2 linked regions of the Oryzias latipes genome follow. The protein of the gene in region 1 interacts with the protein of each later gene in a biochemical or structural test. Links are inferred from orthologs where the notes say so. Each region holds a gene or a part of one and is shown on either strand. Other genes may lie near its edges.

Region 1 (4,940 bases):
TAAGATGTTAATGTATCTAATTTGTCTGCAAGTGGATGCATCAGAATGGAGCGGAGCAGGGAGACTTTGGCCTGCCCATTTCACTTGCTGAGTCACGAAAAAGAGTATTTTCAAACAGCATTTTCTCGTCTGCTCCTGATTCATCTCAACTTGAATAAAAAAAAAATACTCAGAAAAGTGGTAAAGAAAATTATGATTAAATTGCATTTCAGCATATTTCTTTATTCAAATCATTGTGAATCAGGAGAAGACAAAAAAAATGCTGTTTGAATAAGCCTGTAGCAGTGACATAGGTGCTAAGATCAGCAGGCCACAAGCTCCTTGATCCACAGCATTTGGATGCATCTACTTGTAGACGACTAGCTCCATGTTCGTCTTCATTTTCCTCATTGGCTCAAAACTATACACCTGTGCTCCTCTGATGCAAACCTTTCGTCCCTCCACTGTTGGACCTAACATTAAACCTGTGGAGACAGAGCCAATCGCTGCCCCAACCCGCTTGAACACTGCCCCAACACCCAGTGTTTAAAAAATCACTAAAAACTAATCTTTTTAAAAATTACTTTTAATCTTAAATCTGTCATTTTTATGTTTTTAGTTTAATTGTATTAGCTCTTGTTTTTATTGACTGTGTTTTACTCACGTGTTGTACAACATTTTTGTGTGCCATTTAAAGCGCTGTACAAATAACATTCATTATTATTAATTTATTGTTATTATTATAAGCTAGCAGGAGAAAGTGTAAACAAATCATGATGGGAAAAAAGGGAAAGCTTACTCCAGGCCAACAGTCCCAATCACCGCCCACACATTTCTGATAATCTCCTGCTGCTCCGCAGAAAGTATCTCCTAGAAATCGACACAGGTTTTTTGATTTTGGCTAAAAACGTCATAATCATAATTAAAAGACCTCTGGGAATGCTTTAACAATATGTCTAAAGATTATCAGAGTGGGACTTTAACTGCCTCATCTTCAACATTAGTCTTGGTGTTGATCTCCAACATCAGAACTGCAGCAACTTCACTGTGTTCAGGAGATGGATAGATGGATGCATGGATGCATTAAATATGTGTGTTACCTGAGAAAACTTTGAGGTCTGGTGTTTGTTCTTCCTTCATTGATCTTGAAGTATTGAGAAATACAAACTATTTGAATTACGGGATGTTTTTCTCATTGATTCTCCAGAGACATTATGGGGTTGAAAGAATTTATACGTTTTTTTTATTACTCATTTCCACATTTCTTAAGAGATTTGCCCAAACCCGAAGGCATAATTCATCATTTAATTAAAAAAAAGCACACTATCTAATTATAAAAGGGAAACAAGGCAGTCGCACAGTTCATTGCCCTGGGACACAACTGTCTAACCCACGTGTGTTGGTTTGTGTGGAGCAGTCACAGATAAAGCAGAGAGTGAAGCGTTTTGTCAGATCGCAGCTTCACACTCAGTCAGAAAAGTTCCCAGATATGGGGCTCTGTTCCTGGGCAGGAGCTCATCATCTGCTGCCAGTCCTGGTTCTTGTGTCAGCACTACATGTCAAAGCTGAACAGAATCAAGCGAAGGAGAGGCACTACTACATTGCTGCTGAGGAAATTGACTGGAGTTACTCCGGCAATGGCACAAACAGGTGAGTTAACCTTGAAATAGATCATGTCATCTTTTACTTCAACTACTCAGCTAGAATATTATATCTTTTTTAAATTTGACGAAAAGACGTCTCTGCTGCGTTTACATTTATTCATGAAAAAATATTTTCAATTGTTTTAATCAGACGATGGTTACAATTCGATTGGGAAAAACTGAACAGTCTGTTTTTGTTGCTTTGTTTGCCATTTGCAGCCTGTTTCTTAAATATTTTTATGATAGCACAAAAGGATAACACATTGTGTGGGGGTGGGGTGTCTGTACAAGTACATTCTGCAAATATCTGTTTCTGTGCTCTTCCTCAGGTTTAATCCCATCTACAAAAAAGTGGTCTTTCGGGAGTATGACAAAGACTTCCGAAAAGCTAAGCCTCATCCATCATGGCTAGGTTAGTATTCCCTGATGTTGATGTTAGCTCGGTTTATCTGGATTCCTTCTTAAAGAAACATGTATACATATCTACAGGAGATGTCTATGCATGAGGACCTCTTCTGGGGTTTGCATTTTATACCTGTGTGTTGATTGCATTGTTCTATAGGACCCTGGCATAACTGGCATGCATGCCATATTGATTTGAACCTCAGATTTGAGGTTAATTATGATATAGACATACTTGTATAGTCATTGGTTTGTCAAAGAACAAATAATTGGGTGTACTAGGGGGTCCAAAAAGCATTGGTTTGACACCATAATGATGCTTCAGATTCAGAAGAAATACCAGTTGGGTCCAAATCCAGTCCCTACGTTGCATCTGAGTTGATGCAAAGTGAAATAGTAAAGAAGAAAGAACCACTAACATTGGCTACATTTTAAAAATATTCATTTATATCAGGGAAGAATTAGGAGAGAAAGTAAAGCTATGGAAGAGATGATAGAATTCCTTTTGGCTGATCAACAATTGTAGATTTGACCACAACAACTATATTAATGGCGGAATGTCCATTTGAGGTTGTACCGATAAGTCATGATGGATAGTTGCTTTCAAATAAACTTCCTCCACAGGCTTACTTGGACCAACGCTGCGAGCTGAGGAGGGAGAGACGATTGTCGTCACTTTCAGAAACAGGGCCAATGGTCCATACAGCCTCCACTCCCATGGCGTGAATTATGGGAAACAATCTGAAGGTAGGCAGCTCTTAACCCTTGTGCCATCCTGGATACTTTACCATTGGGAGTTGGGTCATCTAGACCCACTAGACAGTGCGCTGAACCGTTTTTCTTCAATGATTTGTGATCTTCACTGGTGTCCATGGATTACATGAAATCTTTCCACCTTTATCCACCTTTGTCATGGTAGGAAGAACACGTCAATGTAAGGGTGGGGTCATCTAAGATAGCACAAGGGTTAATCAAGCCACACATTCCTCTGGCATAACTATTAAAACAGCTACAGCACGGCCTGTTAGGGTCATGGTGTGTGTATACTCATGATGTTCCTCGTTTTACAGCAAACAACTTTGTTTGTCTTTCTCTAAAAGATTAACTAGGACAGACAAGGCACCAAAGCAAAAAGTTCTGAAGTCCAACAGGAAGGATTGCTAAGCCTTTGAAAATATTTATCTCAGTATGTAAGGAGTGACTCATGGATTTTGGAAGTTGAGGGCTCCTTAATTAAATAAAAACGTAAATAAATATTGGATTTTTGTAGAGTAATTGTTTATAAACCTTTGTTTTTATTTCATTGATGAGATGTGATTAGTCGATTGTCTTCTAAATGCAATGGGACTTTATTTGACAGAAAGAAAGATAATTGAACCATGGGATCATTGAAATAAGAATAATAAGACATTGTTGTTGTTTTTTGGTTCTTTGGTTTCATGTATTTCTAAATATTTCCAGGTACGGGTCGCATACTTTCTGGATTTAATAAAAAATCATCATGTCCTTACCATAGGGGCATTTCATAAAACACAGAAAATGGTTAAGCCAGGATTAAGGACTTATCTTGGACAGAGAGGAAAAATAAGAAGTTGATCAGTGTGAACTATTGACAGTATAGAGAAATGGACTGAGTAACCCATCCCCCCCGTCAGACCAAACAGGAAGTACCCGCAGGTTCCAAGAAGCAATGATCTCATAGACTTTTTATAGACAAATAAACAGCTATTACTATTTGTCAGAATAGTCATTCTTGCTCTGACTCCTTTTTTTTAACATGTTCTTGTTAATCCAAATTTTTTTCATGTTTTTTTTCTGTAGTTCAAGTTATTCAAGTTTTAAAATGACCAATCAAATGCCTCAATCAAAGTATGTGGTCTCAGGTCATATGTTCAAAACATTTGATTAACAAATTCTCACAAGCCTGCTTTGAGTGGTAGGCGTGTGGACTTCCAACTAGCTCACTCCTGGTTGGCAAGAGTGGTTGCCATGAAACGATGACTAATACAGACTCAGAGAAATCACTGCTTACTGACAACGTTTGGCTCCAAAATGGCAACCGAATTGACTTTATTTTGTTGAAACCAGAACTGAGCTATTTTCTATGGGTGACATCACACTCACTTCGTCCATCTCTCACATACAGTACAGTCAATGGTGCAAACATCACTGACTGTATTTTGTAATTAAAGCTAGAGATTTTCCTGGAACAGTTTATTTTTGCAAAACATTTTTAGACTTTATGACTATTTAGCTGCTACTGTCTGCACAAAGTCTTCTTTTTAAATAAGTACTTTGTAGCTTCCTCTTCCTAGCAGGATTTGGACATCCACTCAAATGACAGAAAGAAGACCTTTAAATAAAATGTTTTAATCCGTAACTGATCTACTCTGACCCTCAAGAGCCACAACCCCGCCTGTTTTCTGACCATGTGTACTGTTTGCTGTTGATTTGCTGAAGCAGATTGAACATGAGTCAGATCAGATGTGCTTAGTCAGTCAGAGGGTAAAAATAACTTTCATCCAAACAGTAGATAGCAAATCAAGGAGGGTAGTACATTTAAAAGGCTAGGTTTCGCCAGCCTCACAGAACATTATCTGTCATGAGTACAAGTATTGTACACAAACATGTACAGAACACCCCTCCCCCATCCACTCCCAGCTTCTTGCCAAATCAACACATTATTCCAGAAGCTCTTTTTCCGTGAGGAATTTCTTTGTTTTGATACTCTGTCCCAGACTGTTTCTGTTGTGACATAAGTTTTCTTTTATTGTTTAACCCACTGCTAAACTCTGTGTGACTGTGTGTTTAAGTGTGAGACTACAGACACACCAGGAATGTCTCGTGCGCTAAAGAATGCACTAAACGCACATTTTTGGACATGGATTTAGCCCACAGTGTTCACACTGTACTGTC
Region 2 (4,897 bases), on another chromosome or scaffold:
CCGCCAGGCGCAATCCTGCGCGACCATCGCAGATGCACGTGTAGCTGCCTACTGTGTTCACACATGTCCCATCACACAAAACGCGCTCACACTCATTCACATCTGCAGCAGACAAGAAAACAAAGGGTCAAGAATTCACAATTAACTTTCACTTGTGTTAAGATGATGCAGATTACATTTGGAAATAAGGAGCCCACTGATCACATTACAAGATTTACATGTCTCTCAGCAGAAGCAAGCTGGACTGATTTTGTCATGCAAAGAGCTTGTTAATGGGTCTGCAGGGTTTCAAGGGTGCAGAAGTCGTTCAATGGATTGTATGGATGCATCCTTGTTTCAGGTGTGTTTGGGGGATTTGGTAGAGCCTCACCATCGCAGGACTTTGAGGTGAAGTTATACTTAAACCCCGGCGGACATTGACACTCGTACATGCCAGGCGTGTTGACGCATTTGGCTGGCTCTTCACAGATACTTCGATACAACAAACATTCGTTGATGTCTGAAACACAAGGGACACAATGTATGTACAAACGGGCCTCTGTTAGGACTGCAAATATGAAGCTATTTTGTGGAAAAAGGCACATCAGACATAAGTAAACAGTTTACGAAGACCTGTAGTATCAGAACAGATTCAAACCAGAAAAACAATTAAATTGAATGCAAAAAATACAAGTAGATGCACTTATAGCTTCATTTAAATACCAAATACCTAAAATCTGTGATAACTCAAGCCTTGAAATATGAAAAAATGACAAATGACTAGCATCTTCCTCAAACTAACAGAGTGCATGTTTTTGAAGACTTTGTACTGAACTCTAAAAGACAAACAAAGATCTACCCACACAAAGTAGGACGCACGAGAATACAGACACGGATCCAACAGACAAACAGCTACAAATGATAGAAATTAACTTTTAATGAAAAAAAAAAGAGAAATTGTCAACTTTCTGTTGTCATACGAGTAATCTCAGGTCAAATTTTAGGTTTGCTGGAGGTCAGCAGCTGAGGGGACAGAGGCTGTGTTTTGGAGCGTGCAGTGATCGGAGTATGTTTTCTCAGCTGTGGAGCAAAACTGAATCATCCGGACAGAAATATCTGTCACGAGTCTTTGAAACGCAGTTTCAAAGGTCTTCAGTTTTGCTCCACAGCTGAGAAAATTAAGTTATCTGAGCCCTCAATGAGGGACTGAATTTATTACACCACTCCATGCCATCTTACCCACACAGTTGATTTTATCATTCAGGAAGTAGCCTTCATCGCACATGCAGTAGAAACTTCCGGGGATGTTGTTGCATTTGTGTTTGCATCCAGCTGGAAAATCTGGATCGGAACATTCGTCAATGTCTGCAAAGTCAACGCAAAAGCAGGTCAGGCACTCCTGCCAGGATATCATATACAGAAGAGGATTAGGGCCTTGGAGAGAAAAAAGAACATAAAGGGCAAAAATAATTCTAACTTTTTAATTTTAATTTTAAATCCTAATTTTTTCTCAAAAAGTTTAAATTCTGAAGAAAATTGGAATTCTGTGATTAAAGTAAAAATTCTAAAACTTAATTCAGAATTCTTAGATTAAAGTTATATTTCTGAGATTAAATTCAGAATTGTGAAATTAAAGTTACAATTGTGAGAAAAAATTCAGAATTCTTTTTGGCCCTTTTTTTTTTCCTCTATTGCACGAATCCCTTTCCATACATATAGAATCTCATTTTGACAACATTAAAAAGGCAACACAATTTACCATATTCACAGAGCCGCCCCTTCCAGCCCGGTTTACACACGCATGTGAAGGAAGCCTGGCCGTCAACACAGCCCTCTGAACCCTCCTTGTAGCATGGAAACGGGGTGCACTGGTTACTGATTTCTGGTTAGAAACAGGAAATTAAACGGGTTGAAGAGGAAGCATCACATCAGCAAACCAGCATGATTTTTGGTTCAGATTCTGCCCCTCACCCTTAACACAGGTGCGAAGGTTTGATGGGATGTCTGACCCCGAGTTCCCATTGCTGATGCCAACTCGGTGGGAACCCAGACACACTAGAAGATAAGGTCCAGTTTGATGAGTTTATGGAGAAGATACATCATCAAATCTGGTAGAACTTGCCAACATACCAACATATTTGGGGTAGAAGTATTCCTAAAAGAAAGAACAGCAGACTATAATCAATCCTCTGGAGCACTGATTCAGCTTGAAGGTTTTTGTAAACTAGGTTTTCACCGTCTCAGGCTGGTTCTCAAAGATCTCCCTGGCCTCCTCCTTGTTGCATAGCTCCTCTATGCACTCCCTTTCCAAGTTGCCCGCCTTGGTCTCCTCAAACCCAGAGTTGGCCCTCCTGTGCCTCCTTAGGAACTGCGAGGCTGTGTTTTGGCTCAGGACTGGGATGCACATGCAGATACTTTCTTACTTCACATTACTGTTGTGCAAACTTTTTTTGAAAACAATTTGAAATGTGAAGACTCGTCTCGATGGTATGGAGTTATTGTGCATTTGTAAAACATTTAGTGTGCATTTGTGAAACACAATCTGTGTGTTTGTGAAACACAGGGTGTGTATTTCCGAATTTATTTTTCACGTTTGCATAAAATGACATTTGTGAATCGGAGCGTGTGCATTTGTAAAACCGGTTGTGTGCATTTCTGATTATTGAGACTGAATTAACTCCATACGATGGTGGTGCTTTCATGCCACCAGCCTAATTGCTCTCAGATGAATTGGCCTGAACAGAGCTCATTGCGAAACCGTTATTTCCCAGAAGTTAACCCCCGGTTTGTTACTAAAGCACCTCATCTTGCTTTGATTCACGCCGTAACAAGGCGGCCAAATCCTCCCAAGTGACCTCATTTGAGACCTGATAGGGCCTTAATCATTTCATCCAACTGTGACAGCTGTTTTCGCAAACTTTTAGAATCCCAAACATACTTACATCGATGAGCATCGGCGAACGTCACAAGCAACACGAAAAATGCCAAAGCTCTACCCAGAATCCTACGTGGTACGGGCATTGCTGAGCCGTTCCTAATTTATATCTGCTGGAAGACTGGCTGAGTCTAGGTCCGATGTAGGAAAAACCAAAACAAACTTTTCTGTTTTTTTCCCCCGAAACTGTTTTCGCAGGAGGGGAAGAACCGGGACTGAAGGCGGCTAGAGAGCGCTGCTGACACACTCTTCTGGCTTTTGTTTACTCAGCGAGGCTGAACTCATGCAGAAAATGGGTTTATCAAATACAATACAGCACAGGAGGACCATGGAAAATCTACATGCCCCATTCGTTAAAAATGAATTGCTGCAGAAATCACTGTTATAAGACATTTAGAAGTCAACTTAGCTAAAAGTATTGAAATGGAAATGATAAAACTCAAAATGTGGTTTGACTACAATAAACTATCTTTGAATCTAACAAAAACAAAGTTTATGGTGTTTGGTAATAAAGAAAAAACAAGTGATTTTGTCCATTGACTACATAAACATAGAACAGGTGTCTGAATTTAAATTTTTGGGGGTTATGTTTGATGACAAATTAACATGGAAATCTCACATATTTAATGTAAAAAATAAAGTAGCCAAGAGCCTTTTTGTTTTGAACAAATCCAAATTTATTTACCCTGTCATTTTATGCACATGTTGCGTTGCTCTTTAGTTTTACCTTATTTTACATATTGTATTGAAGAGTGGGGAAATACTTATGAAACTAATATAATGCTCTTAATTCTATTACAAAAGAGAGCTATTCGAATTATTCACAAAGCTAAATTTAGAGATCACACAAATGAACTTTTCATTAAGTCAGGTTTATTAAAACTTAAAGATGTAATCAAATTGCAGACCTTATTAGTTATGTTTAAAGCCAGAAACATAGATTTACCTGAAGACTTAGAAAAGCTTTTTATTTTGACCACAGGAGATGAAAATCATAGGAGAAAATTTGATCTCAAACAACAGATTGCTCGAACAACACTAAAGCAAAAGTGTTTGTCTATGGCAGGGGTAAAAATGTGGAACTCCCAGGAGAATCAGTTAAAAAGTTGTCAAAATATTATTCAATTTAAACGGATTTATAAAGCAAAACAAATTAGTTTGTACAAACTTGATTGTTGAATGGAATGTTTGGAATGTATCTGCTAAATGAATGGAAAGTAATTACTGTGTTCATTTGAACTGTATATGGTAAAATCTGAGCACAGGTGATGGTGTGAGTAATGTAAATATGATGCAATGTTTAAAAGGGAGCAGACAATTATACGAATTGTATTCTTCAATTCTGCTCCAATCTAATCATAAAAATGTTCAATATTGTAAGACAAACATGTAAACATATTGGACAATCAATAATTTTCATGAAAGGAACAAATAAATGAATGAATGAATGAAATGAATGAATGAAGTTGTAATATAAACGTTAAGTGAAGTGAGCACAGCATCATGTAAATAAATGTTATTTTTTAATTCAAGGTCCGTATTTATTGTATGTGTGAGGCAAACGCATGAGGGCATTTTAATGTAGCAGTTAATCTGAGAAAAAAAATATTTATTTTGGTGGGATGAGGAGTGACATGATGCCCCAGTTTAATTATGAATGAAATTAACACAAAAATGGACTTTCCTTAATTTACTTAGTGGAAACTGAAATCAAAAAGCACAAAACAACTCCTCCAAATTAGACTGAGAAATATGACACTTTATCTATATTTAATTTTTTTCTTGTGCAGCTTTAAAATTCTGTAAACCTTTCTGCAAAGAAGACTACCATCTTTCTTTTTATGTATTGTATTTTCTGTTTTGTGCTGAGTATTTAAATCAGTAAATATAACAACTGCTGTAAAAATAGTAGTGCATGAAGGTTAGAACATATGGCAAGTAAGGGCCCCCATGCAGATCTGATCCCTTCACTGAAAAAATATA

Evidence for each region. The genes of interacting proteins can lie anywhere in the genome.
Region 2: the proteins of venom prothrombin activator oscutarin-C non-catalytic subunit (region 1) and pros1 form a complex in vitro, tested with the Homo sapiens proteins (2 studies listed by BioGRID). The link is inferred for Oryzias latipes from reciprocal best matches to the Homo sapiens genes F5 and PROS1.

The regions. Positions count from the first base shown.
Region 1 is NC_019879.2:11,789,628-11,794,567, reverse strand, and holds the start of venom prothrombin activator oscutarin-C non-catalytic subunit, read left to right. Parts: upstream 1-1,417; 5' UTR 1,418-1,468; coding exon 1,469-1,629; intron 1,630-1,951; coding exon 1,952-2,034; intron 2,035-2,648; coding exon 2,649-2,771; intron 2,772-4,940. UniProt on the Homo sapiens protein: Central regulator of hemostasis. It serves as a critical cofactor for the prothrombinase activity of factor Xa that results in the activation of prothrombin to thrombin.
Region 2 is NC_019861.2:16,511,369-16,516,265, forward strand, and holds the start of pros1 (vitamin K-dependent protein S), read right to left. Parts: upstream 3,174-4,897; 5' UTR 3,001-3,173; coding exon 2,922-3,000; intron 2,374-2,921; coding exon 2,216-2,373; intron 2,135-2,215; coding exon 2,110-2,134; intron 2,035-2,109; coding exon 1,951-2,034; intron 1,862-1,950; coding exon 1,739-1,861; intron 1,345-1,738; coding exon 1,219-1,344; intron 500-1,218; coding exon 371-499; intron 103-370; coding exon 1-102. UniProt on the Homo sapiens protein: Anticoagulant plasma protein; it is a cofactor to activated protein C in the degradation of coagulation factors Va and VIIIa. It helps to prevent coagulation and stimulating fibrinolysis.